Canis lupus familiaris: one gene and its partners. The main gene of each other region encodes a partner of the protein of the gene in region 5 in a complex. Links are inferred from orthologs where the notes say so. Each region holds a gene or a part of one and is shown on either strand. Other genes may lie near its edges. The genes, in order: DPF1, ACTL6B, PHF10, SMARCB1, SMARCD3, ARID1B and DPF3.

The links.
Region 1: SMARCD3 (region 5) and DPF1 share a complex: the UniProt entries of both Homo sapiens proteins name them as parts of the neuron-specific chromatin remodeling complex. The link is inferred for Canis lupus familiaris from reciprocal best matches to the Homo sapiens genes SMARCD3 and DPF1.
Region 2: SMARCD3 (region 5) and ACTL6B share a complex: the UniProt entries of both Homo sapiens proteins name them as parts of the BAF complex. The link is inferred for Canis lupus familiaris from reciprocal best matches to the Homo sapiens genes SMARCD3 and ACTL6B.
Region 3: SMARCD3 (region 5) and PHF10 share a complex: the UniProt entries of both Homo sapiens proteins name them as parts of the neural progenitors-specific chromatin remodeling complex. The link is inferred for Canis lupus familiaris from reciprocal best matches to the Homo sapiens genes SMARCD3 and PHF10.
Region 4: SMARCD3 (region 5) and SMARCB1 share a complex: the UniProt entries of both Homo sapiens proteins name them as parts of the BAF complex. The link is inferred for Canis lupus familiaris from reciprocal best matches to the Homo sapiens genes SMARCD3 and SMARCB1.
Region 6: SMARCD3 (region 5) and ARID1B share a complex: the UniProt entries of both Homo sapiens proteins name them as parts of the neuron-specific chromatin remodeling complex. The link is inferred for Canis lupus familiaris from reciprocal best matches to the Homo sapiens genes SMARCD3 and ARID1B.
Region 7: SMARCD3 (region 5) and DPF3 share a complex: the UniProt entries of both Homo sapiens proteins name them as parts of the BAF complex. The link is inferred for Canis lupus familiaris from reciprocal best matches to the Homo sapiens genes SMARCD3 and DPF3.

The regions. Positions count from the first base shown.
Region 1 is NC_049222.1:115,605,665-115,609,514, reverse strand, and holds the end of DPF1 (zinc finger protein neuro-d4), read right to left. Parts: intron 2,806-3,850; coding exon 2,693-2,805; intron 2,076-2,692; coding exon 1,952-2,075; intron 1,813-1,951; coding exon 1,742-1,812; 3' UTR 640-1,741; downstream 1-639. UniProt on the Homo sapiens protein: May have an important role in developing neurons by participating in regulation of cell survival, possibly as a neurospecific transcription factor. Belongs to the neuron-specific chromatin remodeling complex (nBAF complex).
Region 2 is NC_049227.1:8,990,678-8,994,851, reverse strand, and holds part of ACTL6B (actin-like protein 6B), read right to left. Parts: intron 3,063-4,174; 5' UTR 2,614-3,062; coding exon 2,589-2,613; intron 2,122-2,588; coding exon 2,045-2,121; intron 1,843-2,044; coding exon 1,677-1,842; intron 1,369-1,676; coding exon 1,268-1,368; intron 1-1,267. UniProt on the Homo sapiens protein: Involved in transcriptional activation and repression of select genes by chromatin remodeling (alteration of DNA-nucleosome topology).
Region 3 is NC_049233.1:72,418,797-72,421,711, forward strand, and holds the end of PHF10 (PHD finger protein 10), read right to left. Parts: intron 2,547-2,915; coding exon 2,438-2,546; intron 2,153-2,437; coding exon 1,964-2,152; intron 1,703-1,963; exon of another isoform or gene 916-1,702; coding exon 830-915; 3' UTR 720-829; downstream 1-719. UniProt on the Homo sapiens protein: Involved in transcription activity regulation by chromatin remodeling. Belongs to the neural progenitors-specific chromatin remodeling complex (npBAF complex) and is required for the proliferation of neural progenitors.
Region 4 is NC_049247.1:28,807,021-28,811,194, forward strand, and holds part of SMARCB1 (SWI/SNF-related matrix-associated actin-dependent regulator of chromatin subfamily B member 1), read right to left. Parts: intron 3,566-4,174; coding exon 3,428-3,565; intron 1,475-3,427; coding exon 1,347-1,474; intron 1-1,346.
Region 5 is NC_049237.1:16,005,405-16,009,578, forward strand, and holds the end of SMARCD3 (SWI/SNF-related matrix-associated actin-dependent regulator of chromatin subfamily D member 3), read right to left. Parts: intron 4,087-4,174; coding exon 3,964-4,086; intron 3,714-3,963; coding exon 3,618-3,713; intron 3,464-3,617; coding exon 3,362-3,463; intron 3,125-3,361; coding exon 2,963-3,124; intron 2,211-2,962; coding exon 2,113-2,210; intron 1,951-2,112; coding exon 1,815-1,950; intron 1,519-1,814; coding exon 1,396-1,518; intron 1,277-1,395; coding exon 1,175-1,276; intron 960-1,174; coding exon 906-959; 3' UTR 601-905; downstream 1-600. UniProt on the Homo sapiens protein: Involved in transcriptional activation and repression of select genes by chromatin remodeling (alteration of DNA-nucleosome topology).
Region 6 is NC_049222.1:47,261,434-47,265,607, reverse strand, and holds part of ARID1B (AT-rich interactive domain-containing protein 1B), read right to left. Parts: intron 2,951-4,174; coding exon 2,746-2,950; intron 1-2,745. UniProt on the Homo sapiens protein: Involved in transcriptional activation and repression of select genes by chromatin remodeling (alteration of DNA-nucleosome topology).
Region 7 is NC_049229.1:46,574,958-46,579,763, forward strand, and holds the start of DPF3 (zinc finger protein DPF3), read right to left. Parts: upstream 3,159-4,806; 5' UTR 3,126-3,158; coding exon 3,094-3,125; intron 1-3,093. UniProt on the Homo sapiens protein: Belongs to the neuron-specific chromatin remodeling complex (nBAF complex).

The DNA of each region.
Region 1 (3,850 bases), on a different chromosome or scaffold from region 5:
GCTATTTTTTCTTACTATTATTTCCTCTCCCACTGAATCTCCATCTCTTCTGTCGCCCCCCCCCCCCCCCCCCGTGGCTCGCTCATCTACCTCTCTCCAGATCTATTTCTTCCCTCTCCTGCTCTTGTTCCGATTCTCTATAAATGTGTGTCTCTCTGCTGATCTCTCGGTGTCCTGGTTCTCTCCTCATCCCGCCTCACCCAAATCTGCCTCCCTCCCAGCATCCCTGGGACGGGGGACCCCAGGTGAGGTCGGGGGATTACAGGAGGTGCTCCTGGCACCCTGCCCCCTCCCCTAGCCCCGGAGGGCGGCCCCTTCATCCTCCCATCCCTTCCCCCCAGGCCCCAGCCCCCGCCTCCCCCCTCGCTGCCGATCGCTGCAGCTGCAGCAGCCCGTTGCCAGGGCAACCACAGCTGGCTGGGCGGGAGCCCCCTCCACCCCATCCCCCTTCTCCTTTCCGGCGAGGCTGGGAGGAGCTGGGACAAAGCCAGGGAAAGGCGGGGTGGGGGGGGAGTTGGAGGGAGATGGAGGTCGGGCGGGCTCCAGCTGTTAACCTCGGTCAGCTCTCCCTCCACGAGGCCCCCGTCTCCCCTTCCTGGCGATGCCCCCCAATCCAGCCCGCATAACGAGGCGGTCGCGGGCAGAGGGGTCAGGCCCAGTTTAATACACAGAACAAGTTAATTCACAGCAGAGGCAGGCAATAAAGGAGACTCGTGTACAAGGGGGGGCATGCGTGGATCGGGGGAGACCCCCCAAGCCCACCACCTCCCCCACTTGCAGTCTCAATTTCCCTTTTTTTTAACCCGAACAACAAACACACACAACCACGAGAAACAACCACGCCCCCTCGCTACCCCCAAAATGGCCAGCGAGGGTGGCAGGGGGCAGCCCGGCCTGGCCGGTGGGGAACTGGAGCAGGGGAAGGAGGAAAAACCAGTCCGGTGCAGAGTCTGTGCTTCTCATTCCAGCAGGCGCTGGGCGGGGGCCCGCCTGGCCCCCCCAGCCGACGCCCACCAGCCTGGGGGGTGCCCCCCCCACACCGCCACGGCGGCCCGACCTCGGCCACGGCGGGCACGGAGCGGGCAGGGCGGGGCGCTCGGGGAGGGAGCGGGAGCGGAGTTCAAAACCATGGTTCACGTCATGCAGTATCCACGGTGGGCACCAGGGCGGGGCGAGGGTGGACACCACACCCACCTGCCCGGGCTCACGGGGGAATGGTGCCCACTTTGGGTGCGGAGGCGGGACAGCTGCAACTCCGGAAACCGGGGGGCGGGGCTGCTCGGCAGGAAGCCGCATAGACTGGTGCCCAGTGGATGCTCAGCAGTGCCCCCTCCACCCGGCCAGGCCTTAGAGGACTCTTTGTATATATTAATTTCTTTTTTTTTTTTAACTTTTTGACTTTTTCTTTAGAAAAACGCTGTGTCCGTGCCCCGGGCTGGCATCTGCCGCCCCTCATGCCCGCCCAGAGGCGGGGTATGGCTTTGAGGGGAGCAGAAGCCCCTGGTGCCCATTTGCCAAGGGATGGGGAAGGAGGGAGGAAGGGAGAGGAGCCCTGCTAGGCCCACCAACCCACAGGGCAAACATTCCACTTGCACAGAGGGAAGGGGGGGCCCAGCCCCCTCTCGGGCTCCCCCTCTCCCCCTCCCACGGTGGGGCACTGAGGGCGGGGAGGGTGTGGAGGAGCTCGGAGAGGCAGATGGGTCAGCACCACCCCAGAGGTCCAGGTGAGCCAGAGCCAGGCCTAGGTGAGGGTGATGTAGGCAGAGGCCTTTTCTTTCAGGTGCCGAAGACAGAGGTGACAACTCCAGCTCCCTGTGGGGGAGGACAGGGGGTTAGGCCCAGGTCCTGGAAGGGCTGGCCCAACTCCCTCCCAACCAGCAGACACACAGTGCCTGGTCTTCTCCAGCAGGAAGCCCGCCTTTCGACCTGCCCACGCCCGTGTGGTGCCCACCTCTTCTCTCACCTTCCGGGGGCTCCGCCATGGGAGGACTCAGGCAGTACATGTGGTAACCCCGATCGCAGTCGTCACAAAACAGCAGCTGGTCCTGGGGGGTGAGACCCGCCCAGCTGGCACCCTGGGGGCACGGGCACCAGAAACCGGGGTGGGGGGGCTGGGGCAGGGGTAGGTCAGAGGGGCTGGGGAAGGTTGGTCCCTCCCACGAGAAGGGGCTCCGAGAAGGTCTTTGCATCACGGGATCTTTGCAGAACCCGGCTTGGCCAAGCTGAACACCCCTGTGGTCTGTCCGTTTGCAGTGTGTCGTCTGGGTTTGACAGAGTCTGCGGAACACTTAAAATGACACCCAGGTGGTCTGATACCAGCTCTGGAAGCACTGGATGTGGGTTCGGGTCCCAGCTCTACTAATTTCCTAGACGGGTGACCTCGGGCAAGTCATTTCCCCTCCCTGAGCTGGGTTTCTTCTCTGTGAAGTGGGAACAGGGCACCTACCTCAGAGGGTGGTTGGGAGGAGGCAGGGACATGAGGAGCCCTAAGGGCCCGGCCCGTTAACGGACACTAACAATAATGACAGAACAGGTTACCGCTGCTCCCCGGGGAGGGGCTCCAGGGAGCGGCCTGAGGCGCCCCGGCGGGCCGAGGGGCGGGGCGGGCAGGTCACCTGGGGGCGTGTCCCGGGGCGGGGCGGGGCGGGGCGTGTCCCGGGGGCGTGTCCGGGCGGGGCGGGCGGCCACTCACGTCATTCTCCGAGGTACCACACAGGCTGCAGGACTTGCACTCGATGCACTGCCAGCGGTAGGTCCGCACGGCTGCCGTCATGTTCACCGTAAACTGTAAACATGAGGGGTGTCCTGGGGGCCGAGGGGCAGGGATGCGGTTAGGGGCCATCGTGCCCCCTCCCCCGCGGTGGCCGCTGAGCCCGGGGAGGAGACGGCCCGGCCCCCACGCCAGCCCGGCTCTGAGGCTGGGCCTGACCCCCCCCTCGCGGTGCCCGGGCCGCCGCGCTGCTGCCGCGGCCACCCGGCCCCTACCCAGCCACCATGGTAACCACATTCTGCTCCCCGGAACACCATGGCAACCGCATTCCATTACCCACAGTGCTGTGGCAACCACTTTCTACCACCCACAACACCCGGGCAGCCACATTCTGTTAACCACTGTGCTGAGGCAGCCGCATTCCATTACCCACAGCAGAATGGCCAACAGGTTCCGTTAACCACAGTAACGTGGCAACCACGTTCTCCCAGCCGCGATGCCATGGCAACTGCCTGGCACAGGGGGGCCCCACACCCTGGGTTCCCTGCAGCCCGAGCCCCATTACCCGGGATACCCTGGCCGCCAAACTGCTTGTGACAATACCGTGCGATGCCAACCCGCTGGCCGTCCCGCTACCCCAGCGCAGAGACCCCCCCGTTGGCCACTACCCCGGTGCCACAACAGCTACCCAGTCGCCATGACAACCACATCGCACTACCCGTAATACCATGACAACCACAATTCATTACCCACTGTGCTGAGACAACCACAGTCTATTACCTACAAGTCCACCCTGGGAAACCACATTCTATTAACCACAAGTCCACGGCAAGCGCCGTCGGTTATCCACAGGACCCCGACAGTGGCCATCCATGACTCATTATCACAGTCCACTCCCCACGATGCCGGGGCAACCATCCTTCACCACTCCTCGTGCCATGATAAGCACAGGCCACCACCACCAATGCCATGACAACCACATCCCAGAGCCTCTCTGACCCCTCTGGGTTTCCCACAGTCCTCAGCAGTGGAATCCGTTGCGCCACCCCTGGGTTCCCCCCACCAGGCCGCGCCTCTCCACCTCCCATCCTCCAGATCTAGATTCCTGGTGTGCCCTCCACCCAGGCCCCCGGCAACCTC
Region 2 (4,174 bases), on a different chromosome or scaffold from region 5:
AGATTCAAGAAACAGGACTTCTATTACGGGAGAGACGTGAGGGGATGCCCTAAGATGATGGTGAAGGGAGATGTCAGGATGATAGCTATGTCTTTTGTATAGAAGGCAACAAGTCCAAAGTGGAGCAATTAGTGGGTTTTTGGAGAGATTTCTTCAAAAAGACCAAATTGATAGAATATCTAATGGAGCTAATGTTTGAGAAAGGATATAGATAACATAAGCAGATAAATAATAGCAGATGAATAACTTAGGGTCATATCATTAAATAAATAGAAAGCTAAGCAAAATAAAAATCAGTGCAATTTTCAGTTCTATGTAAAGGAGCTGTGCAGGAAAGGAAAAGTGACCAGAGTATTGCCTGCCTGAGGCTTGATTACCATATATAAACACAAGAATGTAAATACTGAATAATAATTTTTTTAGAAATCTAAAATACAACTATACTTAAAGGTGAGGAATGAGGGAAGTGTGTGGTGTGGGCTGGAGGAGGAAAGAGAGCTCAATGTTTCTTTTTTTCTTTCTTTCTTTTTTTAGAGGAGAGTGTGTACAAGGAGAAGGAGGGGGAATGGGAGGGGGAGGGAGAGAATCTCAAGCAGATTCCCATGGAGCATGGAGCCCCATGCAGGGCTCAATCTCATGACCCTAAGATCACAGCCTGAGCCAAAATGAAGAGTCCCAACATTCAACTGACTGAGACACTCAGATACCCCTCAATATTTATTTTCTACAGTGGGAAATAAATCCCTAAAACTATAAAATCCACAAGCAGCATTTGAATGGGATATTTAGAGATATAGAATAATATGACAAAACTTCTCTAAATGAAAAGCAGTTGCCTCTGGAAAAGTGGAATGGAAGGAAGAGGATATGAATGGCCGTTTTTTCTTTAACATATTTTCTAAATCAAAGTGGTTATGTGCATATATAACATTGACAAAAATTTTAAGTTAAAAAGTCCAAAAGGACTTTGGTGGGGGGGGGGAGGGGGAGAAACAGCAGTGGATAAGGCTGAATGGGCAAAAGATATGAATGGATAAAACAGGAGGATGGAGAGGGATAAAGACTAAACCAGGGAGGAAAAAAAAAAGTGCTTGAAGATGGTGGAGTTGGAAGAAAAGTCTGAAAAGTTAAGTGGAGTGATCAATGGCAGATGCTTTCAGAAGGGAGAAGTGAAAAAAAAAAAAAAAAAAAAAGAAGGGAGAAGTGAATGGCAGAAAGGAGGTAGGGAGCACCTGGGGCTGGACTAGGGTTTGGGTGAGGCACTTACCGGGGCCTCAGACATGAGCACTGGATGCAGGTTGGGCTCGGACTTGACGTGTTTACTGTAGGTGTGATCCAGGATGGCGCGGAAGCATTCCCAGTCCTCAACTGGAGCCAGGAGGCCAGCGTGGAGAGATGAAGGTGGGCCGGCAGGGGTCCAGGGACAGAAAGCAAAGGAAGGAGGGATGCCAAGTCCAGGGGAGGGGAAGTGAGATCAGTTCTAGCAGAAATCCCCCCTTCCTGGGAATCTGTTGGGCCCCTGGGCTGGGAACCAGTCAGCTGTGGGAAGCTGTGAGGGAATTCCTGGGATGTGGGCAATTGCAAGATAGACTCTGTAAGTGTGGGGTGATATGTCCTGGGTTGTGGTGAGTGGGATCCTGGTCTGTGGTGGGAGACAGTGGGTGGGGGCTCCTTACTCATGCCATTCTTGAGGGGCGACATGACCTCTGCTCCATCCCGAGGCACATGCAGGGCGTTGGTGTCGATGTGGAAGATCTTCCCTTTCTTCTCTTTCTCCCCCTCCAGCTCCAGCCCGCCCCCCTCCTCCGCGGCCAGCAGCCCCACCGTGGTGGGGAAGTCAGCCTGGAGGGGGCATGGGCAGGAAGAGGGATCAACCTCTTGCCCCTATCCAGACCCATAGCAAGGCCCTCAGCCCGCCCCTGGGTTTACTCCCACATTCCCGCTCTGCAGAGCTTCTCTCTGTGTTGTGAGAACCCTGGGTCACTGGGAAGCCTGGAGGGGAGTCCGAGGCCCTAGGACTTGGGGATGGGGCTGGAAGGCTCACCTTGGGGCAGTCCTCCCCAGCGTACCCAGCGCGGACTGAGAAGGAGCCAATGTCAAAGACCAGCGCCCCCACCTCATCTGTGTGGGGAGACAGGTGTGTGAGGGGACCTCTCCCAAACTCTCTCCCCCTGGATAGCTCGGAGAGGAGGTCAAGGCAGAGCCAGTCTCGCCACCTTCAACGCTTGCCGGGGCAAGTAGGAGCTCGGCCTGAAGTCCGGGGTCCTGGGAGTGGGGATCAAGCCTCCCCAGAGTCCCTTCTTGCCCAGTGGCCTTATTCAGGCCACTCTCCTTGCCGGGAAAGAAGGGGCCAGGGGGCCGGGAGGAGGTGAGTTGGATGGTGGAGAGTGACCCCAGTGCGCGCAAACGACCGACCTGGGAGGACCAAGGTAGGAGTGGCGCAGGACCCAAACCCAGGGCTGGACCCGTTCGAGCGCCGGGGTGACAGGCCCTAGGGTGCCCAGAGCTTAGGTCGCGCGGGTTCGGGGTGCAGGGCTGCCGGTGAGGCCGCAGCAGGCTGGGTAGCCTGAAGCCCGAGGCTAGCTCACCTCCGCCGTAGACGCCCCCGCTCATAATGCCCTCTTAGCGCTGCTCACGGCCCGTGGGCGGCGACGGGATCAGCACCGAGGCGGCCGGACAGCTCCCGGGATCCCGGGCGGGGCGGGGCGCTCAGTAGCCAATCAGGAGGCCGGATCCCCCGCCCCCAATGACGCCGTGGATTGGCTGCAAGGCGAGACAATAACCGGACCCGGGGCTGCTGCTTTAAAGGGGCAGACACCGCAACTTTAAGATTGTGGGGAGGATAGCAAGGACTTCGAGATCGATTCTAACAGATAGCCAGGTAGAGAGCAGACGTACACAAGAGATGGAAACCTTGTCCATTTGGAGACCAGGACGCCTCAGGACGTCTCACGGGGCCCCTGCTCTCTTACTTTTTTTAAATGGGGTCGAGAAAAGGGCACCATAGTCCTGGAGAGTCGTCCATTCTCTGGCTCCTGATCAAGGTTCTGCCATACCCAAGTCTGAATGAAATCACCGGGCGAAGGAGGGAAAGGAAGAAGGGAAGGAGGAGAGAGGTACAGGAGGGGGCGTGTCTCCATCTTCTCCCTGTTTCTTTCTATCCTTGTCTTTCTAGTGCCCCCTTTTCCTCTCCCGTCCCCGGTGCCTGGGCCCTATACATATACACGTGTACCCGTGCTCAGCTAACCCATCTTCAGCTCCCTTTCCCCATCTATCTCTCCCCAGCTGTTTTCCTGGCCTGACACCACCTCCACAGCAATTTTAATAGCAAAGGTGAAGGAGCAGCTCCGACAGCTTGGCTTAGCTGAGCGACTCTTATGTGAGCATGTGTGTAGATGTGTGCCTATATGTATGCGTTTATGCGTGTCAGGATGTGTGCATGTGCATATGCATGTCTGTATATGCATGTGAATGTTTGTTTTGAGGGCACTCTTACCTATTTGCTGAGTGTGAGGGAAGCATTAAAACCATGGATAGCGGGTTTTGGCACACACACGAAAGAAAAGGAAAGAAAGAAAGAAAAAGAAGAGGAAAGGGAAAGGGAAAGGAAAAAAAGACCATGGATGGCACAGGAAGAGGATACCTTGTGACAACCAATGCCCCAGAAGTTTCTCTGCTCACCAGATGCCCGCTCTGAAAGAGACTAAGGTGGCTCATTGATCACCCACTGGCAAGAGTGGCATTTCACATGCCCAATGTTGTTTGGGAGTCCAGGCCTAGAACCTCAGACTGGAGGCATCCAGGCTTAAGTGGGAGAGGTGAGCTGTAGGGGAGAGAGCTGACTCAGTGCTGGGAAACTGAAATATTTCTGAGTTAGTCATTGGCCTCTATAAATTGAGACCTAGATGACTGGATGAGTCCCTTGACCTCTTGACACCTGCATTTATCTTACAAAATTGTTATTACTGTTATTATTATTGTTGTTGCTGAGGTGAGGATTACAGGAACACTGGAGTAGAAAGTGATTCTATTCGTGGCCTGTACCTCTCCTTTTGTTGACATTTAATGAAGTTGCTTCACTTCCCCTACAAATTCACCTTGTCAGTTCCCTCTCTTAACCCAGTCCAGAGACTGCCTCAAGTCAGGAGAAATATTATTGATCATAGATCCAGCC
Region 3 (2,915 bases), on a different chromosome or scaffold from region 5:
TTACCTCATACACCCCAAAAGGAGGGAAAGCAGCAAGAACGATGTTAGTATTTTCTCAGAGGTCAAAATTCCTGTAAAAGGAATGCGCACAATAAAATGTTTAGACTCCGGTTGATAGCTTGTCAGGTGACTGAAACAGGGCAGTAGCCTAGGAATATAGAAGATAAATCAAAACAGAGCATCAGATGAAAGGGCTGGTAGCTAGAACTGTGTTCTCCCTAGAGTTTCTGAATGAAGTTACAATGTGTTTAGGACTTTGAAGCTGCTGCTGAAATCAAGCCTGAAACGTACATTTTTGCGCTTTTGCGTGGCTGCGGGGCTAAAGCGCTGGGCCTGCCCCCAGGTGGAGTGGGCGCCCCTGTCCAGACAGGAAACCCAGCTGCACCAACTCTCATCAGATCGTTTGTTATTTATCATCCTGGCCTACCTATTAGTTAAAATTCTTCCATCATTAAATAACTTTGTTATGCTGCCAGTGGTAGGCCAGAGACCATATAGATTAGGAAAATTTCATGCAACTACTATTCACTTTCTGGTCAATGAAGGAATAGTTGAGTATTTCGATTACGTAATATTTCCACTGAATTTCTGAATAGAGCCAAAGTACTAAAGATTTAAAAAAAACTTTGGGAAAATGAACTATGATTTCTCTATCTAAAATTGGTTTCGAAGGTAAAAGTAGCTTATAATAAATAAAGTAGCAGATTTTAAGCACATAGTTAATTTCAGAAATCTTTTATTGGCATAAAATTGAGAATGTAAATAAATTGGCACCAAATATTTCATTTATATCCATATTACAATATTGGGGTCAGAAAGCTATTTTATCTTATCCCTCTTTGCTGTTTTTCCCCCTTCTGCCCACTTTCCTGGGAGTTGGGGGGGCTCGCTGACAACAGTCACAAATCCAGCGACCTAGGAGAAAAATTGTTAGTTAATATACTATGAAATTTAATTCTTTAGGACTGAATTTTAAACCCATTTGGCTCTCCTTTAGCTATCGCTAGTAATTTCTCTGTGGATTTGTGTTGTGAAGGGCACTTAGTTCTAATAAGGAGTTCTAATAATTTTTAAGGAGAAAAATAAACTCCCTTAAAATAATCAGTGTAATCAATACCATGTGAAATTCAATGCAAGTGGAGGGGGCAGGAGGTAATTGTGTGTAATGATGGGGACCTTTGAAAACTACCATCCTTTCTATAACCCAAACACTACCACACTTTGAGTTCAATAATACAAATCCTGATATAAAACTTGTTACAGAGTTTGGCTCACTTTCAGCCGTTTCCCTGCTGCTCAGTGGCAAGTGCGAGTCTAAACTTCCTCCCAAGGCCGGTGTACCAGACTCAGCACTTTAAACTTAATCACTGATAAACTGCACCATGTACTCCATCTGAGTTACTACAGAACTTCAAGTTGCCTGCTTCTTAATGATTCCCAGGAAACTTAGTTCTAGGCATACATTTTATAAAGTATTATACAGTGTTAACTATGCAAATAAGTTCTAAATTTACACAATTATGTGTAATATTTTAGTCCAATTACTGTGATTTATTCGACTCTGTTCATTCCAAAGTTATCTGGAATTGTCATGCTGTCTCATTTTATAGAAATCTGGTTTAATATTTATAAAGGCATAGCAGTCATTTTGTTAAGTTTCTGAATAGATGACATAAAAATAAAATCAAGGCTTTGAAACAAACTGATGCTCTTTAGTTCTTCCAGTAGAAAGACATGAGTTCTCTATGTATTAAGCTGTACCTCTAACACTTACATCCCACTTGTGATTCAGTTGGGTTACCTAGGGATGAAAAGCAGGTGGACATTTTCTGGGTAACCACAGCTCTGGTCACTTCTTGTGAACAGAAGGATCTTTATGGTGTTTATGTGAGCCTTTAAGAAAAAAAGGCTGGGAGAGTCCCTTCACTCAGAGATAACGTTCCTCCTTTTTTTCAGTCTTTACCTGATGGAATAGCACCAAGGCCCACACAAAAAGTATGATAACCTCTGTCACACACATCACAGAACATCATTTCTTCTTCGTGGTGGGGCTGTCCACATATAATGCAAGTTTTACACTCCATACATTGCCATGGGTAGGTCTTAATCATAGAAACAAGCTCCATTGTCATATCCAGGCAAGAAGGATGGCCTAAACCAAAACCAGCATTAGTATTTCACGTAAGAATTTTGCACTTACTATGGCATAATCAAATGCTAATTTGCTTCGGGAGTTCTTGAGAATGGCTACAATGTTTAATCACCAAAGAAATGACAATACAAAGTAGAGAATACACGGGCTGCTTTTCTATGCCTCATAGGTCACCCTATATATTTGATGATTCTTTGACTCAGGTCTAGCTGACAACTAGAAATCCTGGTTTCTGAAGCAACAAATAGGGTGGTTAAAATGTTAAGAAGACATGTCAGTACTTACCACTGTTATCACACTGGGAGCAGTGTATAAGTGATTCAGCCTTCCCTTTCTTGTTGGACTCCTTACCCTTCAGACAAATTCCACATAGAGCATTTGGAATGACCTTTGGCTGGAAGGGTAGAAGAGGGCTATAAATTCATGCCAGAAGAACTTCCTATGGGTTCATAAGGAATTGTAACTGCCTTATCTTTACTTTTGGTATCTTGCTAATGAGGACCTTTTTGAAAGACCTAACTTGAGAGCCAGCTTTCAAATACAATGGCCTACTGGCTAAAGCCTTAGATGTGGTTTTAAAATTTTGTCAACAGCATGATCTCATGTTAGGATTAAATGTGGCATTCTACACTGCCTACGGGCACAGTAAGATCTGTATAATGAACTGGAAGGGCAGACTACAATGTCAAATTGCACTTTTAACTGGAAGAGAAAAATCCAGGTACCGAATGACCATTACCTAGAAGTCTGGCTTACTGTACAA
Region 4 (4,174 bases), on a different chromosome or scaffold from region 5:
GGCCTTGTTCCCAGAGCCAGGCAGAGGCCCTTGGACTCATACCTGGCATATCAAGTGCCAGGAGATGACCAAAGGAAACAGCCTAATCCCTCTAGAAAGCTCAAGGCAACCACATATCAACAACTACACACGTTCCTCCTTGAGGAAATCCCCTCTGGGAGAAAAAAGTTGTAAACGATTATATTCTCTGCCATGGGAATGTCTAATAGCAGAAGGAGTTTTAGCAAAAGAAGGCACTACAACTCAACAGAAAATTGTGTGCCAATTATGAAGACCAAAGAAACCAGGAGGATACTTATAAGTGAAGAAAAATAAAATTATACTTGCACTATAATTACAACTCTGTTAAATATCTTTGCACGTGCCAAATGACTGGCAGGGAAACTATTATTAGGAACGCTGAGATTCTGGAGATTCTCAACTTCATTTAAAAATTATACTCACTGGGGCTTTTTTCATTGCTGTTCTTTGGTTTTGGTCTGAATATAAATAATCTGTTTTAAAAAGTCTGATTCAGGAAAACAATAAAGAAAAAATAAACACATATGCAATCCTCCTTCCTGAATGGGATAAGGACAAAACACTCTGAAAAATGTCTCCTGGGCAGCCCAGGTGGCCCAGCGGTTTAGTGCCACCTTCAGCCCAGTGTGTGATCCTAGAGACCCGGGATTGAGTCCCACATTGGGCTCCCTGCACGGAGCCTGCTTCTCCCTCTGCCTGTGTCTCTTCCCCTCTCTCTCTGTGTCTCTCACGAATAGACAAAATCTTTAGAAAAAAAATAAAAAAAGAAAATGTCTCCTACGCTTTCTCTTGCTCATGAAGAGTATGCTCTCTTGAGCATGAAGTCATGCTCAGGGTCTGGGAACCAGGAAGAGCAGGCATCTGACCCAGGACTTACAGAGTGAGAATGGGAAAAGGAAGAACAGACAAAGGGAGGGTAGACCTCACTGGGATGAGAGAGGTATGACACGTGCACACACGGCATCATGACAGATTAGAGGGTTGGACAGAGCTAATGCGAGGTGGGTAGAGGGCCATGCGTTGATCTGATCTGAGTAGCAGCAAAGTCATCGTGAGCTCATTGGATAGAGAGGCTGCATCCTGACTGGCCCCTGACCTGCCCAAGCTCGCTAGGAGAGGAAGGAATCTGAGGCTCACATGCCCAACCCACAGGAAATGGGGGCAGAAGCAGGATCTGAACCCAGAGTCCACACCCTAACAATCTATGCCACAAAGCTCTGAATGTCGTGTTCAGAGTCCAGGATCCCAACAGGCAGGAGGCAAGAAAAAGGACTGTTCACACTTCAGCTGGGCCTGGGCTGCGCAGACCCCAATCTCCCACATACCATTCATGTTCCATGTAAAGGCATCTCGCAGCTTCTGGCCATCGATCTCCATGTCCAGCCGGATGGGGACCAGCACCTCAGGCTGGGATGCATTTTCATGGATCACAGCTGGGTCGTGGTCATCAAAGCTGGAAGTGAAGTGGCAGCAAAGTCAGCAAGGGGTGCCATGGGTCTCCACGCTCAGGGCCTCCCTCCCTCTTTGCACTACTGTCACTGCTAACTCGGCCAGAGGGAGAAACCCACTTCTTATGGTGACTTGTTAACTAAGGGCTGAGCCAGCGGGGAGACCAGGCAAGCAGGGGTCCTGCAGCCACAGGAGCAGAGTTCCAGGCTTCAAGGACACTCAGGGAAGGAGAGGGAGCTACGGCCTTGGGCAGTGGGGTATGACCTAGACGTACCCCAGAGGAAGCGAGATTTAAGCCCCAAAGCAGGTAGAACTTTCACAGAAAACTGTAGGTAAGGAAGGGTATTTTCTTTTCTTTTTTTTCTTTTTTGGAAGAGTATTTTCAGAAGAGGAAATACTTAACCAAATCCAAGGGGCAGGAGTGGTGAGGAGCTGTTGGGGAGCAAGAGCCAGAGCACTGAGGGTGGGATGCAGGTTGGGAGGAGGGAAGGAGCACTGTCGGGGACACAGAGAAGCTACACGTGTCCAAGTACCCATGCTTCTCCATCTCAGGCTATGGAATCCAGCCTCTACCCCGAGGGAGCTCCAGGAGAACCCAGAGCAAGGCAGTTATGCAGTCATATCTGTATTTCAGGAAGACACAGAGGAAAGAGGCTGGGGTGGTGAGGGGGGCAGGGGTATGCAGGAGGGCACTGGGAACCTAAGGGTGTCTGCGGAATACGGAGGGCTGAGAATTGCTCGGCGGGGGTGGGGGTGGGGGTGGGGGGTGGGGTGGCAGAGATGACAAACATGAGGAAAACACACTGTATGCCAGACAGCAGTGCTCTGGGAAACATGACAGGGAAAGCGACAGGAGACAGAGACAGGAGTGGCCATTCTAAAGAGGGGTAGGCAGCTCTGAGAGGTGACATTCAAACACTGATGGGAAGGAAAGGGAGAAAGGGAAGGAAGAGGGAGAAGGGGTCAGCGGTGCAGGTGTTGGCAAGGAATGAGCTCTCGGCCGAGGGAACTACAGAAGCTTCTGGGTGGCTCTGAAGGCAGTGAGGAGGCTCATGTGCCTGACGCAGGGTGAGGGCGGTAAGAGAGGAAACCAGACGGGGGCGGCCACTATGAGGACTCCAGGCCTGGGCGAGGGAGCCCACATCTGAGGGGGAGCTGGCCAAAGGCGGTCCAATTCCGGACACTTGGAAGGCTAAGAAGGCAGGAGTGTGCAGGAGAAGAGTTCTGGGGTTTTGGCCTGAGGGCAGGAAGGAGGGAGGACTGTGTCCTAGACTCAAAAAGTTGGCAAGCAGTGTGTGACAGATACCTGAGGATAGTGTGTAGAGGTGAGGGCAGGCTGCAGAGATAAAAGTGGGGGTGAACTTGAAAATGCCCCCCAAAAGAAATTTAGTCCTAATCCCTGGAACCTGTGACCATTATATGGTGGTAGCGGTGGTGGGGGGGACTCTGCAAATATAATTAAGGATCTTAAGAGGAGAAGGTTATGCAAGTAGCCCTAAATCACATCATAAGCGTCCTTTTGGGAGAAGACCGGGCAATATTACACATAGAGGAAGCGGCCCTGTGACCCACTGAGGCACAAACTGGTGATGCAGCCACAAGCCAGGGAATGCTGGCAGCCACCAGAGGCCAGAAGAGGCAGGAAGAGCCTTCCCCCCCAGCCTCCAGAGGGAGCAGGGTCCGGCTGACACCTTGATTTTGCTGCACTGAACTCCTGTCCCCAGAACTGTGAGAACCTGGAGGCGTTGGGGAAACAGGCAAGAGCAGCGAGGCTGAAGCAGGCAGAGCAAGGCAGAGCAAGCTGGAGCAAGCCAGAGCAAAAGCCAGAGACTGGCTGTCCCCAAAGCCGACAGGGAACAGTCTCGAGAAGGCAGCATAGTGTTTGGGGGAACATAAAGTCAAGGCAGGGAAGAGGGTAAAATTAAGGCGGCATCAGCAGAGAGTGAGGCACGCTCACCACAGAGGGAAGGTTCTCTTCTTGTCCCGGCCCATGCGGTTCCTGTTGATGGTCGTGGAGCAGGGCACAGCATCCAGATGGTGGGAGCTATTGGGCAGGGTGGGCACCCACTGGCTGTTCCTCTTGGCTTTCTGTTCCCTGGGGAGATGCGAGAAATGTCCCTGCTCAGTCTTGGAGCCCAATACTGGCCATCAGATTCCAAGTCACGGTCTGTGGAAACCCACTGCACCCCTGGCAGGCTCCAGTGGTCCGTGGTGACCCCCCAGCACCCCAGATTCTGCACGTGTACTCCTCAGGCTCCCATGGCATCCATTCAGAGGCACCTGGCTTACAGGAAGGGTGCAGAGAGGCCGCAGTCACAGGAGTGCATGAGTCCCAGTATAACACGGAATGTGCTAGGCATGACTCCATGGAAGCCCTACCCTTTCTGTGAGGAATGCGAGTGAGGAGACTTCCCAGGGGAGCAAACCCTGGAGTGGAACCTTAAGTCCTGGGTTGGGGCTCACTGGGGGCGGGAGTAGGGGAAGAGCTGGAATGGGAAGGGCATTTCAGGAAGTGCACAGGTGGCAAGAGTGAGGAGGCAGGGCTGGGGCTGGAGAGGCAGGACATGGAGAGGGTTCCCACTGTGGCGGCTGGCATGTTCCTCAAGAACTGACTGCACTCGGCCGGTGGCTGGGGGATTTGAAGAAGGCAGAGAAAGATCAGATCACTCTTTTAGATACACAGGCCAGCTTGAGATGGACAAGG
Region 5 (4,174 bases):
TCCTCAACCGCTGCCGGATGAATGCCATCTCGGGCTGGCAGGCCTTCTTCCCAGTGCATTTCCAGGAGTTCAACCCTGCCCTGGCACCACAGAGATCTCCCCCAGGGCCCCCAGGAGCTGGTGCTGACCCCCCGTCCCCTCCTGGTGCCGACCCTTCCCGGGGGGCTCCTGTAGGAGGCAGGTTTGACCGACAGGCTTCTGCGGAGGGCTGCTTCTACAATGCCGACTACCTGGCGGCCCGGGCCCGGCTGGCTGGTGAACTGGCAGGCCAGGAAGAGGAGGAAGCCCTGGAGGGGCTGGAGGTGATGGATGTTTTCCTCCGGTTCTCAGGGCTCCACCTCTTCCGGGCCGTGGAGCCAGGGCTGGTGCAGAAGTTCGCCCTGCGTGACTGTAGCCCACGGCTCAGCGAGGAGCTCTACCACCGCTGCCGCCTCAGCAACCTGGAGGGGCTGGGGGGCCGGGCCCAGCTGGCCATGGCGCTGTTTGAGCAGGAGCAGGCCAACAGCACGTAGCAGGCCCCGGGGCCCTGCCCCTCCATGGAGTTCCCCTGTCTGCCAGCCTTGGGAAGGGTGAGGCAAAATGGATGGACAGATGGAGAGCTTGTTGCTGTATTTTTTTAATAAGAAAATGTTATTAAAAGCGTCTTCTGCCAAACTGTTTTTAGGTCTAGGGAAAATGGAGTAAAGAGAAGAATCTGGGACAGAGGGGGGGGTTTCCCAGAGGGACCCACCGCCTTCCCCCTGTCCTTCCTCCCCAGTTGCCAATGACACACAAGGCCGCTCTCAGATGCATGACCTTTAATCATTCCCCTGCCTCACCCGGCACGTGTCAGAAGAGTGATGGCAGAGCTTTGGGGACAGGGCCTGGGCCCAGAGGCCCACAGCGGTGGTCATTCACAGGGGCTCCTAGGTGTTGCGCACAACCAGCGACTGCTCCAACTCCTGCCTGCGCTGCTGGATCTTTAGAGAAATAAGAGCAGTAGCAGGGTTACGCTGTTGTTGGTGAGTGACAGGACAGTCCCACCCAGCCACCCTGGAAGAGCCTCTGGGAGCAGGGAGGGCTCCTCCGCGGCGAGGGGGTTGGTGGAGTGGCAAGGGCCACAGACGTGGCTGAGAAGGGAGGCTTCTCCTGGAGTGAGGGAGGGAAGGCCTGAGGTACACGGGCCCCTCCACACCTTGCAGTAGAAATAGCGGCTGACAGCTTCCTGGGACCAGGGCTGGTGGTAAAACTCAGCCCGGCGCTCCTCCTCAGGGTTGCCTGCCACATCTGTCATCACCTGGGAGGGAGCAGTGGGGTCAGCCCTGTGCCCAGACCCCCTCCAGCCCCCATGTAACAACATTTACTGTCTTCCCGATATGCTTGTCTTCCATCCAGTGCTCCCTGAGTCCCCTTCACCTTGAGGTCCCGGCTCTGGGAGCGGAGCAGGTCTTGGATGTAGCCTTTGGGGTCTCTGGAGAAGCTTAGCATGAAGTCCCTCTGGATCTTGAGCTGGTTTATGGACTCAATCGTCTCATGGATCTACAGGTAGAAAGACAGACACTTTCACCTGGCCATGGTGATGTGGGAGAGGAGGGGAAGGAGGAGGGGGGCGAGTGGGGGTTGGGATCTGCTGCCATCTGTTCTTTGAAGGGCTATCCCTCAGGTCGCTGCTGCCTCTGTAGTCCCGAGGAAGGGGGGATGGGCAGCACTCCCAAGTATCGAGGGAAGGGCCACCTGCCCCCTTCATCTCTCCATAGGCCTACGCTCTTGTCTGTTGTCTGTATTTTGTCATTTCTGGGTTAATGTCCCACTCCAGTTCTGGGCTCTGGCCCCACCTTACTGTCCAGAGCGCTGATCTCCTGCTGGTTGGCTGTGGACAGGAGGAAGCTGCTCATCTGTCCCTTCAGTGGCTCCTCCACCTCCACGTCAATATCATAGCACGCCGTCTTCTTCTGGTCCGACGGGTCCACGCTGCCAGGGAAGTCCAGCCCTTGGTATCCACACTGCTTCCACAGAGGCCAAGGGTCCCAGGGGCAGAGGTGGGGGGCAGGGGTGGGGTGGGGTGGGGTGGGAGGGATAGAGTGGGCAGGACTGCCATGATTCTCTGGTCAGAGGAGCAAGCTGGGGCCTCACCTGATGACGTGGTTGATGACAATTGGGTCAGGGGGCAGCAGCAGAGCTGTGAGGCGCTGGGGAATCTCAGAAAACTTCAGCCGTGGGCAATCAAAAATCTGAGGTGGGAGAGAAAGAGACCAGTCAGCCCTAGATCCTTCCATTGTGGGCGGCCACAAGATGCCAAGAGCAAATCTAACTCCTTAGTGCTGCTGGGGCTGGGACCAGGGTGTCTGTGGGCAGTAGAGAGTGGACCAGGAGGTGTGGGGGTTGTGGTGCAGGGGACCAAAGCACCCGCTCTGGGTCGGTGGCCACCCAGGTGCAAATCCTGCCTCTCCCATTAACACTGCAACCTTGGGCCAGTCCACTAGGCTCTCAGGCCTGTTGTAGCATGTCCGGTGTGGGGATAGTAACTACCAGGGTGGCTGGGAGAACTAAGTGGATGAGTACACATCAAATGCCTGCAGTGGTGCCTGGCATATGGCGAGTGCTCAATAAACCTCGACTGTTATTTTACTCCTCAAGTTTATCTGCCATATTTATTTTTAAAGCATTATTAATAATCTCTACTTTGGTAGAGTCTTGGACCCAGGACTAGAACCCAGGGATCCTAACTTCCAAGTGCCAAGAATATTACATTCCCCAAACTGTTGACCTTTTAAGGTTCTGGATCTTTCTAAACTGGCTTGTCTAAAATGGATGGTGGGCTGCAGCACGGAGCTACGCTGCAGTAGGGCCTACACTAGGACCCTGCTTACCATTTGTGATACCCAGGAATCTAGAAGGGGGGTGGTGCTGCCTTAGTCGAGGCACTTACCCTATTGGTACCTCTGCTTGCCCCCCACATCCCCAAGATCAGGAGAGAGGGTACCTGCTGGAAGTATTTGTCCCCATTGATGTATTCCTTATCATGCGAATCCTGCAGCCTGTTGGTCTTCACATACTGCCACAGGGCCTGCACAATGGCTGAGCGGCTCTGTGTGTGCAATCCCAACAGCCGAGCCAGGCGAGGATCCAGTTTGAATTGGGGAGGCTGAGGAAAGATGGCCATGGACATAAAGAGGGAGTGGGAAGAGCTCAGGGCCAGGCAGTGTGGGACTGGGGGAATGTGGTGACTGGGCTCCTGGGAAACCTGCTTCTGGAAATGAGGTAGGGAAAAGAATGGGGTCTCTTGGTGCATTTCTGTGAAGCCTAGGCCTGGCCTAAGGGAAGGGGTGGGGAGCTGGGGGGGCTAGGGGCCTCAGGTGGAGTCAGGGGGCAGGGCACAGACCTGGTAGTCCAGCATGAGAAGCAGTGTGCAGCGTACACTCAGGTCCCCTGGCCTCTTCACCTGGAACCCATCCGTCTCCTGGGTTGTGGGTGTTCGGTGCCACTGCCCAGGGAAGGAGAGCTGGGTCACCTCACAGGCCCACATGGGCTGCCAAGGCCAGGGACTCTAGGGTGGTCCCTGATCCAGATCTGTGCGGCTGATGGAACTGTGGTCTGGAAGGGTGGCAGTTCCCGGGCAAAAGAGGTCTGGGTCTTACCTCGACTAGGTGGTTGTCGGGGCCATAAAGGTCTTTGTCCAGTTCAATGACCAAACTCTTGAAGAAGGAAGAGAACTTCCGCTTCTGCTTGCTGGGCTGTGGGAGAGGGACAGGGACCGTGGGGGCAGGACAGGGACCGTGGGGGCAGGATGAGTCGGGAGTGGGTGGGGCTGGTTGGGTAGGGCAGCATGATTAGAAGCAGGCCTCTACACCCATACTGTCTCTTCAGGCCGCCCACCCCTGGTTGGGCTGACTCCCTAACCCATAGTGCAAACATCTCCTTCTGTCCTCAGCTCAGCCCCATACCCACCCCAGGACACCTGGAGAGACCTGGGCCAGGACGTACGTCATCCAGGAGCTTCCCCTCCACCCGCAGCTCCCAGGAGGCAATGCTGCCATCGGAATCTTCAGCATCAGGCTTCGCAGGGTTAAAAGTATTGGAGATATAAAGACGCAGCTTCCGCTTTTGCTGTAGAAATAAAGAATATAGTACAAGAGCAAACACTGTGTGCTCCCATTCCCGGGGCAGTCCCACTTTTCCATTCCTGGAACAGGAC
Region 6 (4,174 bases), on a different chromosome or scaffold from region 5:
TCTGCAGCTGTTCATTAGAACTCCATGAACTTTTACAGGCTTATTATAACGAGATCCCCACTGGCACCTCAGAAATGCAACTGTACCCCAGGCCTTGCCCACGTTTCATCTGGGAGCTTCCCTCAATGGACTCGCCCAAGTCACTGGAAGACAGTAACATGGAGCTCTGGCTTGAGAAACCACACAGTCCCTACGGTGAAGATCACGGGCCGAGGGGTTCTACCTCCCAGAGGCTGGCGGAAAGGAAGTTCAGTCCACACTGGCCACACCAGATCGAAACCGGAATACAGATGGATGACACACAACGCTAGTGTAGCCAAATGAGCTGGGAATTCAGGTGGCTTCAGAGTGGCCATTTAGAAAGCAATCTAGTACTTTTCTTAGGAATCTTTTTAGTTTGGATGTGTTGATAAGAAATACACTATAATTACCTTCTTAGGGGGAGAATGGACTCTAAGAACACAAATGCTGGCTGAAAATTCGTTTTTAAAAATTGTGTAGTGTAGGAGACCCTGACGTGGCAAATGGTGGGGGAATAATCTTGTTTCCTTCATTGACGATAAATATATTTCGTATTCTCTAATGATTGCTCTGGTGTCAGAGAGGCCACGGACTCATGAGTGTCAGGGAAAAGTGTGTTATGGGTTCTGGGGCTGATGTTCCTCGCTCCCCTACCGGCCAGTCTGTGTGTCCTTCCGTCTGTATGAGCAGGGTATGGAGAGCGGCCTGGCCCCATGTGCTCTGCGTGAGGTCGCCTGGGCCATGCCCTGACCGGGAGGCTGGGCTCAGGACACCCTCCTCCTCCTGCTTCTTGATTCACAAGACTCCGGACCATGTGGACCACGGAAAACGCGTTATCAGAAGTGCATCTGCAATCCAAGCTCCTTTGTGCAGTTAAAACGATAATGTTGCCATAAAAACGGTAGTTTAAAGAAAGGGAAAAAGGAAAGAGCCGACTGTTGAGAGAACAGGCCCTCCACTTTCTGAAGGGTCTATACCTCAGCGGGATTTCTTGTACTGAAGCTGATGCTCACTGGGAGAGCTATTCTCCATACAGAAGTGCAGCCCATTCAGTGACATGAGTTTTTCCTGGCAAATAAAATATACCTTTACATCTTTGCAGACATCGCCACTTTGGTCCCTACACCCCACTGAGTTTTTATTTTGGAAAAATAGTTTCAGAGCTGTTCACAGGCAGCTTGTTTTACCCTGTGAACTGAATGTAATGTTGTGAGACTTTTAAAATTAGATTTCACAGTTTTAAGGTAAACCAGAACTGCAAAGGCTTCAAATCCTTAAGGGTGGGGCTGAGAGAGCATTTCTAATTGTGTTTCGAACTGACGGGTCTAAATATATACCCCAGGTATATTCCCTACAAGCGCATCTTGACCCTAAGAAGTATTTATGTGTGATCTCTTGATTAATGACCGTAGGTACTAGATTGCCATCCAGACAGCAGAGAAACAAGGAGAAAACAACTTCTTTCTTTGGATCACAGACACCTTCTTCTACGCGTGGAAGGTTTCCTTATTATAATGCCACTTCAGACACAGGCAGAGGAATATAGTAGGTCCAGGCATAATGCTCGAGCTGGGTGCCACTCACTTAGCAATGAGATTTGGGGACAGTTACTTAGATCTTGTGTGTTAGTTTTCTCATGGACTTTGGGACAGTATGTGCACCATAGAGGTGATGTAAAGATTAAATGGTAGAGCACTTAAGAAGGAGCCTGGTACATTGTAAGTACCTAAGAAATACTGGCATTTGATCCCAGAACAATCTGATAGGAAGTGGCAGGAATGGTCAGTCCCATTCTGTATGCAGGACAGTGTGGCTAAGTGCTGACCATCACAGGGCTTGGATGTGGCCAGGCAAGAAGACAGCTGGATTTAACTTGTGTGAGGTCACCACCCAGATCTATGGGTGATGAACGTCTCTTCCTATCTAAGAATACCGTATTCAGTAGAAGACAGTGATTCAGGAATCTGAAATGCTAACAGGTAGAAGAGAGGCTACCGGGGGAATTGAGAGAACGGCATGTCTCCTGTCTCCACGGTGGAGTGGAGAGACAGGAGAAAAGGGAGGTATCGTGGGTTTGGTTTTGCTCAGGAGACTGTGGGTGAACTGCATTATTTCCAGGTAGCATTCTTAAGGCTCTTGACCTCGGGTCTGAGCTAACCGGCTGCTGGGCCTCAGAAACAGGGTGGCAGGGACCTCCACCATGACAGGTCTGCTGGATTCCCTACAAGTGGGAAGTTGCTGGGCAGGAGAACATTAAAAACTGAGTCCGGATTTCATTCTTTGACAGAAGCAGAACTGGTGGAAACTGGCTGCTAAACTTTCAGGGCAGTGTTTTCTGGTAGCACCAAAGTATTCACAGGGGTAACTGGGGCGACTGGTTTTTGATGGTTAGATGGAATATTTTTTAAATATGTGGAGAAGGAAGAAAGGTATATAGCTCAGGCTTCCAGAGTCTCTTCTGATGAAGGAAGGTAAGGCAGGAGAATGGTGCCTTGGCCACAGTGGCCCAAACGGCCACATCCTAGGTTATATTCTCTGTTCCCTTAAGCGCTGCCAACGGGGGTTCCCTTACAAAACACCCCTTATCCTCAAAGATCCTGCGTTCTGTGTGCTTGCCCAGGAAGTGGCCTTTTCAGAAGTGGCTAGTGGCCTCCAGAGCCCCGCCGGGTGGGGGGTGCAGGTGCCACTGCCTTTCCCGGCGACAACTGTAGCGCTCCCACTTACCAGGAGAGGGCGGCTGGAGCTTGGGCTGCTTCTTGGTGTCCGCGGTGCTAAAGACTTCCGGCGGGGGCTCCTCCCCGCGCTCGATCTTGCACTCAAAGGCAAACAGGTACTGAATATACTGCTTTTTCAGGGAGCTCGCTGCACTGCTTGAAGTGCCAACATTTAGGTTGGTTGCCAGCTCACGCCACTTCTTGTTTTTATTAACCTAGCAAAAAAAATGGCAGGATCATTGGTTTGTAGCAAAGTGGCTTGTTTAAAGCCAGGAGACAAAAAAAGCACTTAATGTCTTGGTTTACTCTTTTTTTTTTTTTTTTTTTCATTTGCCTCTCTTAACTAATGCTCATTACTCCCACTCAGTAGTGCAGAGACAGCATTTACAGTTATAAAACCATTAAGGGACCTGCTGATAGCTACATAAAATGCTGCTCGTCGAGATTCTTCTGCCTGATGCACCTTCTAAAGCCTCACTCTTCCCAGGCCGCTGCTGCTCAGAGCCTGCGATCTTCCCCGAGCAAATGTACACTCTCGCTCACCCCCATCCCACCTCCAATCAAAAAAAAAAGGACATCTGAAAACAAATTTAAAAAGCAGTAACTTGACTGTTTTGCAGTTTAAGTGTTATAGCTTTGATATGAGAAACACTGTTTCCTTCCAACAGCCACAAGCTTCCAGAAAGCCGAGCCTGTAATTCCAGCCCGTGTCCCTCCTCTCACAGGAGGCTTTCCTATGGTGTTGGGCAAAGGGGACTCTAGGGCAGCCCACACCAGCCATCAGCCCTGGGTGGCTCTGAGGCCACCAGCCGGCCGATGTGGCGGGTCCCTGTGAGCCAGGGGAAGGGGCAGGGCACAGGTGACTACACAGTGTTCCCACTTAACACTCTGGCTGAAGAGAACACAGCCGCAAAGTGAGGAGAAAAAAAGGAGAGAAATCCTGAAATGCTGCAATAGGATTCTGGGCATTAACTTTTGATTCCCACTTGGGCCAGCGTTATCCAAGGTTGAACGCCTTAAGGAAACACACAGACCTGCAAATACTTGGGGAATAATCTGCTTTTAGATATGCTTTCTGCTAAGTAGCATGGTAAGAGTTAAGGGGACAGTTGTTTTTTTTTTTTTTTTTTTAAGATTTTATTTATTTATTCATGATAGACACAGAAAGAGAGAGAGAGAGAGAGACAGAGAGAGACACAGGCAGAGGGAGAAGCAGGCTCCATGCAGGAGCCTGACGCGGGACTCGATCCTGGAACTCTAGGATCACGCCCTGGGCCAAAGGCAGGTGCTAAACTGCTGAGCCACCCAGGGATCCCCAGGACAGTGGTTTTTTAATGAAATGTTCAATTTTTGGATTCAAACTTTCCCACAAAGCTCTTTATGTCCATTTACTTAGTACTAAATGGTGCACGATAAACAAATCTCAGAATGCTCACGAA
Region 7 (4,806 bases), on a different chromosome or scaffold from region 5:
AGCAATGAGATTCAAATTGTACCATCCAGTCACCCGAGCTATTGAATTATTAAATGTCCCACGTGGAAAAGCCAGTATAATGAAAAATGGTCCATCCTCAGGGTAGGCAGAGTCCTACAGAGGTGTTGCATGAAACCTGAGCTTGTTTCTCCCCCGCATATTAACCCACCACCACTTTATTCCCCAAAGCTAGAGGAAACCTTTGTGTGACTGGGTTTCTGTAGGGGGCGACCGTGTGGTTGGCTTTTTTTTTTTTTTTTTTAGGAAAGGGAGAGAGAGACTCGGAGGCACACAGAGAAAATGCTAATGTCGTTCAGCTCCGTTTCATTGTCAGGAGGGACACAAGAGGATAAAAACCTAGCTCTCCAAACCATTCTCGCGGCTCCCCTCCTCCCTACACCACCATCCATCCCTTTAGCTGGATGTGTCTCTGCGCTTTGTTCTAATTTATCCCATGCATAATTTATTTACGTGTGTATTGTTTCCTGATCAGCAACTTTTAAAAACAAATGAAATGTAGAAGATGTCTTGCTAAATAAGTTGTTTTCAAAAAATAAAGGCAGATGGTGTGGGTCTCCCAATAACAACGTGTGTGCTCCTGCATTAGGAGTTTAAAAGCCGTCCGGAGCGCAGGAGGTTCGGCTCGTCCGGGAGAGGGGGTGGGTATTGTTTACACCCCCTTTCCTCCAGGGAAAGGGTTTGGGATGCAAAAAGGAGGAGCTAATTAAAAAATGACCACTCAACTCCCGTCTAGAAAAGGCAGGCAGGGATGTTGTGTGTATGCTAGCGCGTGCGCGCGCGCGCGTGTGTATGTGTGTGTGTGTGTGTGTGTGTGTGTGTGTGTGTGTCGACACAGAATTACAAAACATGTCATTGCAACTGTCTCTAATTATTACAAAGTATAAGTTTAATAATTCAGGACTAATTCCACTAAACCAGCCCCCTTCTCTGTTCCCTCCTCCACCTCTAACCCCACCCCACTCAGACACCCTCGCCAAACACGCACCCTTCCGCAGTTCAAAAACAAACAAACAAACAAAAAACCGGAGCCGGCAGGGAAACAAACCCTGGAGCGTTTAGAGATATTGCGCCTGCCGGCGCGTGAGCGGGCTCCAAGGTAACGCTGGTACCGCTTTCCCAGTAGGAAACAAATCTGGCGCACATGTGAAATAGATTTCTCTAACTTGAGTTTACCAGGTGGCATCAGCCTGCCTATGTGATTTCGGCTGGAAATGGGGAAACTGCAAATCAGCTGGAGGTTCGGCTGAAACTCACAGCATCAGCGGTGTGGCTGCGCGAGCGACCGGGGAGCGAGGATGCGGCGAAGTTACGCCCATTTATTCTGCTGTAAAACATTTTCTTTCTTGGCTGAAACGTTGTGGCGTTCCAGTGCAGTGTATCCGAGCTTGCGAGCGAGAACTAAAGCCGGGGGCTGTTCTGTGATCGGCGTCAGCTTCCAGCTTCCTCTTAATCGCAGCTTTAATCGCAGCTTTAATACATGTATATTAAAAAAAAAAAAAAAAACTCCGAACCGGGGACCTTACTACCTTTTCCCCTATTAATGATGGGAGATAAGCTGGTGCAAACACGTCCGATTACCCTCGCGCGTTCCTTTGCGCTAGGAAACACCCCCACACCCCCCGCAGCCTCCCTCCCTCCCCCGGTGCGAACGTGGTTTTCAACTCCAGGAGGAGCCTGGGGTGCCAGCGCGGTGCGCTGAGTTGAAATAACCCGCACGGGCATCGGCCACACAGCCAGGAGAATTTTGCACGAAACGCCCCCCACCTGCATCTCCCCCTCCCCTCGCCCGCGGCTCCCACCCCGGCTGGGAAGTCCTGGTCCCAGAGGCGCGGACCCCGAGCCACGCCGCGCGGCGACCGGGAGTCCCGACCCACGTCGCGCGGCGATGGGGGAGCGAGCTCTCCTCTGCCAATATCATTGCCAATAGCACCCCTTGTAGGGCGACGCTAGTTTTCCGAAGCCTCCAGCGGCTCCGCGATCGCGATCGGACTTGGCGGCTTAACATTTCCATCGACTGGAAGGAAGGAAGGAAGGAAGCCAGGACGAAAAGGAGCAGGAAGGCAGGCAGGCAGGAATTGGCAGTCGGACCCGGGGACTGGTCCCCGCATGTCCTCGCCCAGCCCGCCCCCCTGCGTCCGGGATCTGGGCGTCCGCTCAAAGTCTCCCGGCGGCGGCCAGAGGCACCTGCCCCTCGCTCTGGCCGGGAGCAGAAGCTGCCTCTCCGCCCGCCTCGGTTTTTCACCCAGAGGAGGCAAGAACACCATTCATAAGACCTGCAGCCTCCCTGCCTCCCAATCAACCCCAAGTTAACCCGAGTCGTTAATACACTACACCCAGTTCGCCCGCGAACACACGCAGACACACCGGCGACCGCCCGGAGCGCGGTCACGCTCGGGGGGCTGCCCCGGCAGGAAAGCCCCCGGGCAATCACCTGGGCCCCAGGGCTCCCGGGACCCACTGCTCCCCCTGCGGTCCTCCCAACTCCGGAAGGTTTGCACAAACTCCCCGCGAGCGATCGGAAGGCGTAAAGCGCCCTGCAAACTCCGGAGCTGCCACGGTCCGCTCGCCCCGGCGGACCCAGCAGCCGGGCAGGGGCTGCGGACTCCGGAGGCGCGGGGCGCAGCCAAGTGCACCCAGGCGGCCCCTGCCCGGCGCTCGCCCCCAGCTCGGCCGCCCCCCGCGCCGCGCTCGCCATCCCGCGACGCCGGGCACTCGGGGGACCGTGCAGTCCCCGAGCTGCCCACGACCGCCCGCCTCCCCCCCCCCCCCCCCCCCGTAGAGCGCTCGAGCGCCTGGCTCCCCTGCCGAAAACCCCTCTCCGTGCGTCTTCCAATTAAGCAGAACACAAACGTAACAATTTTCTTCTTGTTAATTGCATCTCTTGACATTTCTGCGCGTTGGGGGTAAAAAAAAAAAGAAGATGAAGAAGTAAGAGCTGAAAGAAAAGAGAAGCCCCGCCGCGGCTGCAGGCGCCTGCAAGCGCAGTGCATTGGCAGCGCTTGGCACGCGGAAGGCGCCTTTTTTTTCATATTGAAACCAGGCGGAATATGTACATTTTTTAGTCTTACTTACGCTTTCAGGGGGTTGTGAATGACAGTCGCCATTTTGCTACAATGTAACAGAATATTGTCTGTCTCAGAGTTCTAAAGGTTCGCTCAGGGGAAGCGGCGAGCCAATCAGAGCACGGGATACCGGCCCGCTGGCCAATGGGCGCTGCTGGTCGCCAGATGGGCGGGGCCTGCACGGTGGTAGTTATTAGGGGAGCTGTCAAAGCCCAGAGGTCACTCCCTTTTGTAGAGCCCGAGAGCAAGCAGGTCTTAAAGGGGCAGTACCGCGAGAGCAGCTCCTTTTCGGATTTGGGAAAGTGGAGACGCACGGGGAAAGTATTCTAGTTTGGTTTGAGTCCCTACTTTCTAAATAATTGCAGAGAGTTTGCGCTCCTGGACAGAAATATTTAAGTATTGCCAACAAACCACTGAACCCCATTCATTAGCTTTTGGCTTTGCTGTTACGTTTTTAATCCCCCAAAGGGCAAATCCCCTCGTTCCCGTGCAAAAGTTGGAAGGCTGCCGTTTCGTCTAACAAATTACTACACGTGCCCAGCAGTTTGCTAATGCTCTAGGTCCAAGGCTTTTTAACATTCTCATTCCTGTAGTGTTTTCTTTATCTCGGCCACCTTCTCTCTCTCTCTCTCTCTCTCTCTCTCTCTCTCTCTCTCTCTCTCGGTTTCTTGGAACTGCTGCCGCCGTTCCCGGCGACTCCAGGACAGCAACTCCCCTCCCCCTGGAATGTCTCAATGTCAGGCTCGCTCCCTCCGGCAGCCAGGGCTTTCGTTACGTAATGCGCGGTGGTCGCTGTGCGCGGTTCCCCACTCCGACCTCTTCCAATCTACACACACACCAGAAACTTCTGAAATGGTCAGATTCCGGCCGGCCGGGGAGCCAAGTGGGACCTGGCGCTCTGACCTTTAGGCTTGGGGACAGAGGAGGTTTAAGGAAACTTTTTGGAAACGCTTTCTGCTACTAGGAAAGAGAGTAACTAGACAGAAGGTGTTGCCAGAGTCTCTTTCGGGGAGTAGCACACGCGATTCTGGCGTCACCTTTCACTACTTAGGTACACGGTGGAAAAATTTGCCACTGAATAATCCGGTAGGACCCGAGGCGTTCAGAGTCTGTGTCTGCTCCAAGTCAGCGTGAACTCCTCACTGGCGAACCCCCGACGAAATTGGGAGACTTCGGTGAAGCCAGGCTTCCACGGGGCAGCGGGGAATCTCCCGGTGGATGAAATCGCACTAAATCATGAATAGGGGCCTCGTTAGCATACAGAAATCTGGCTAACATCCCAAAGTTGTTTAATCAGGTCAAATAGCTAAAATAGCGGAGGAGGGGTGGAAAGGGGGAGAGAAGATGCCAAATTGCCACCAGTTCTTCAGAGCTCTGCACTCTCACTTCCTTTCTCAGGGCTCCTCTCAAGGCAATGAATTAAAATTAACAATAATAATAATAACAATAATGTTCCAGAACTTTCAGAGCGCAATTCCATACACTATTAGAGTTACAGAAAAACAGAATAAGACTGAATGGGTATGTTTGTTTATAAGACTTGAAATCTTTAGCTCCTTCTTTCTGCCTAGTTCATAGGCAAGTCCTATAGATTTCTTTGTAACCCCTTTGTCACTTGAAACACCTTATACATTTTTCTAAAATTAAAGTTTGAAAAATTCTTTTCTTACTAATTTGTCAAGGAAGGGAGTGGTTCAGAAGCTAGTTCTTGGCCTAGGATGGG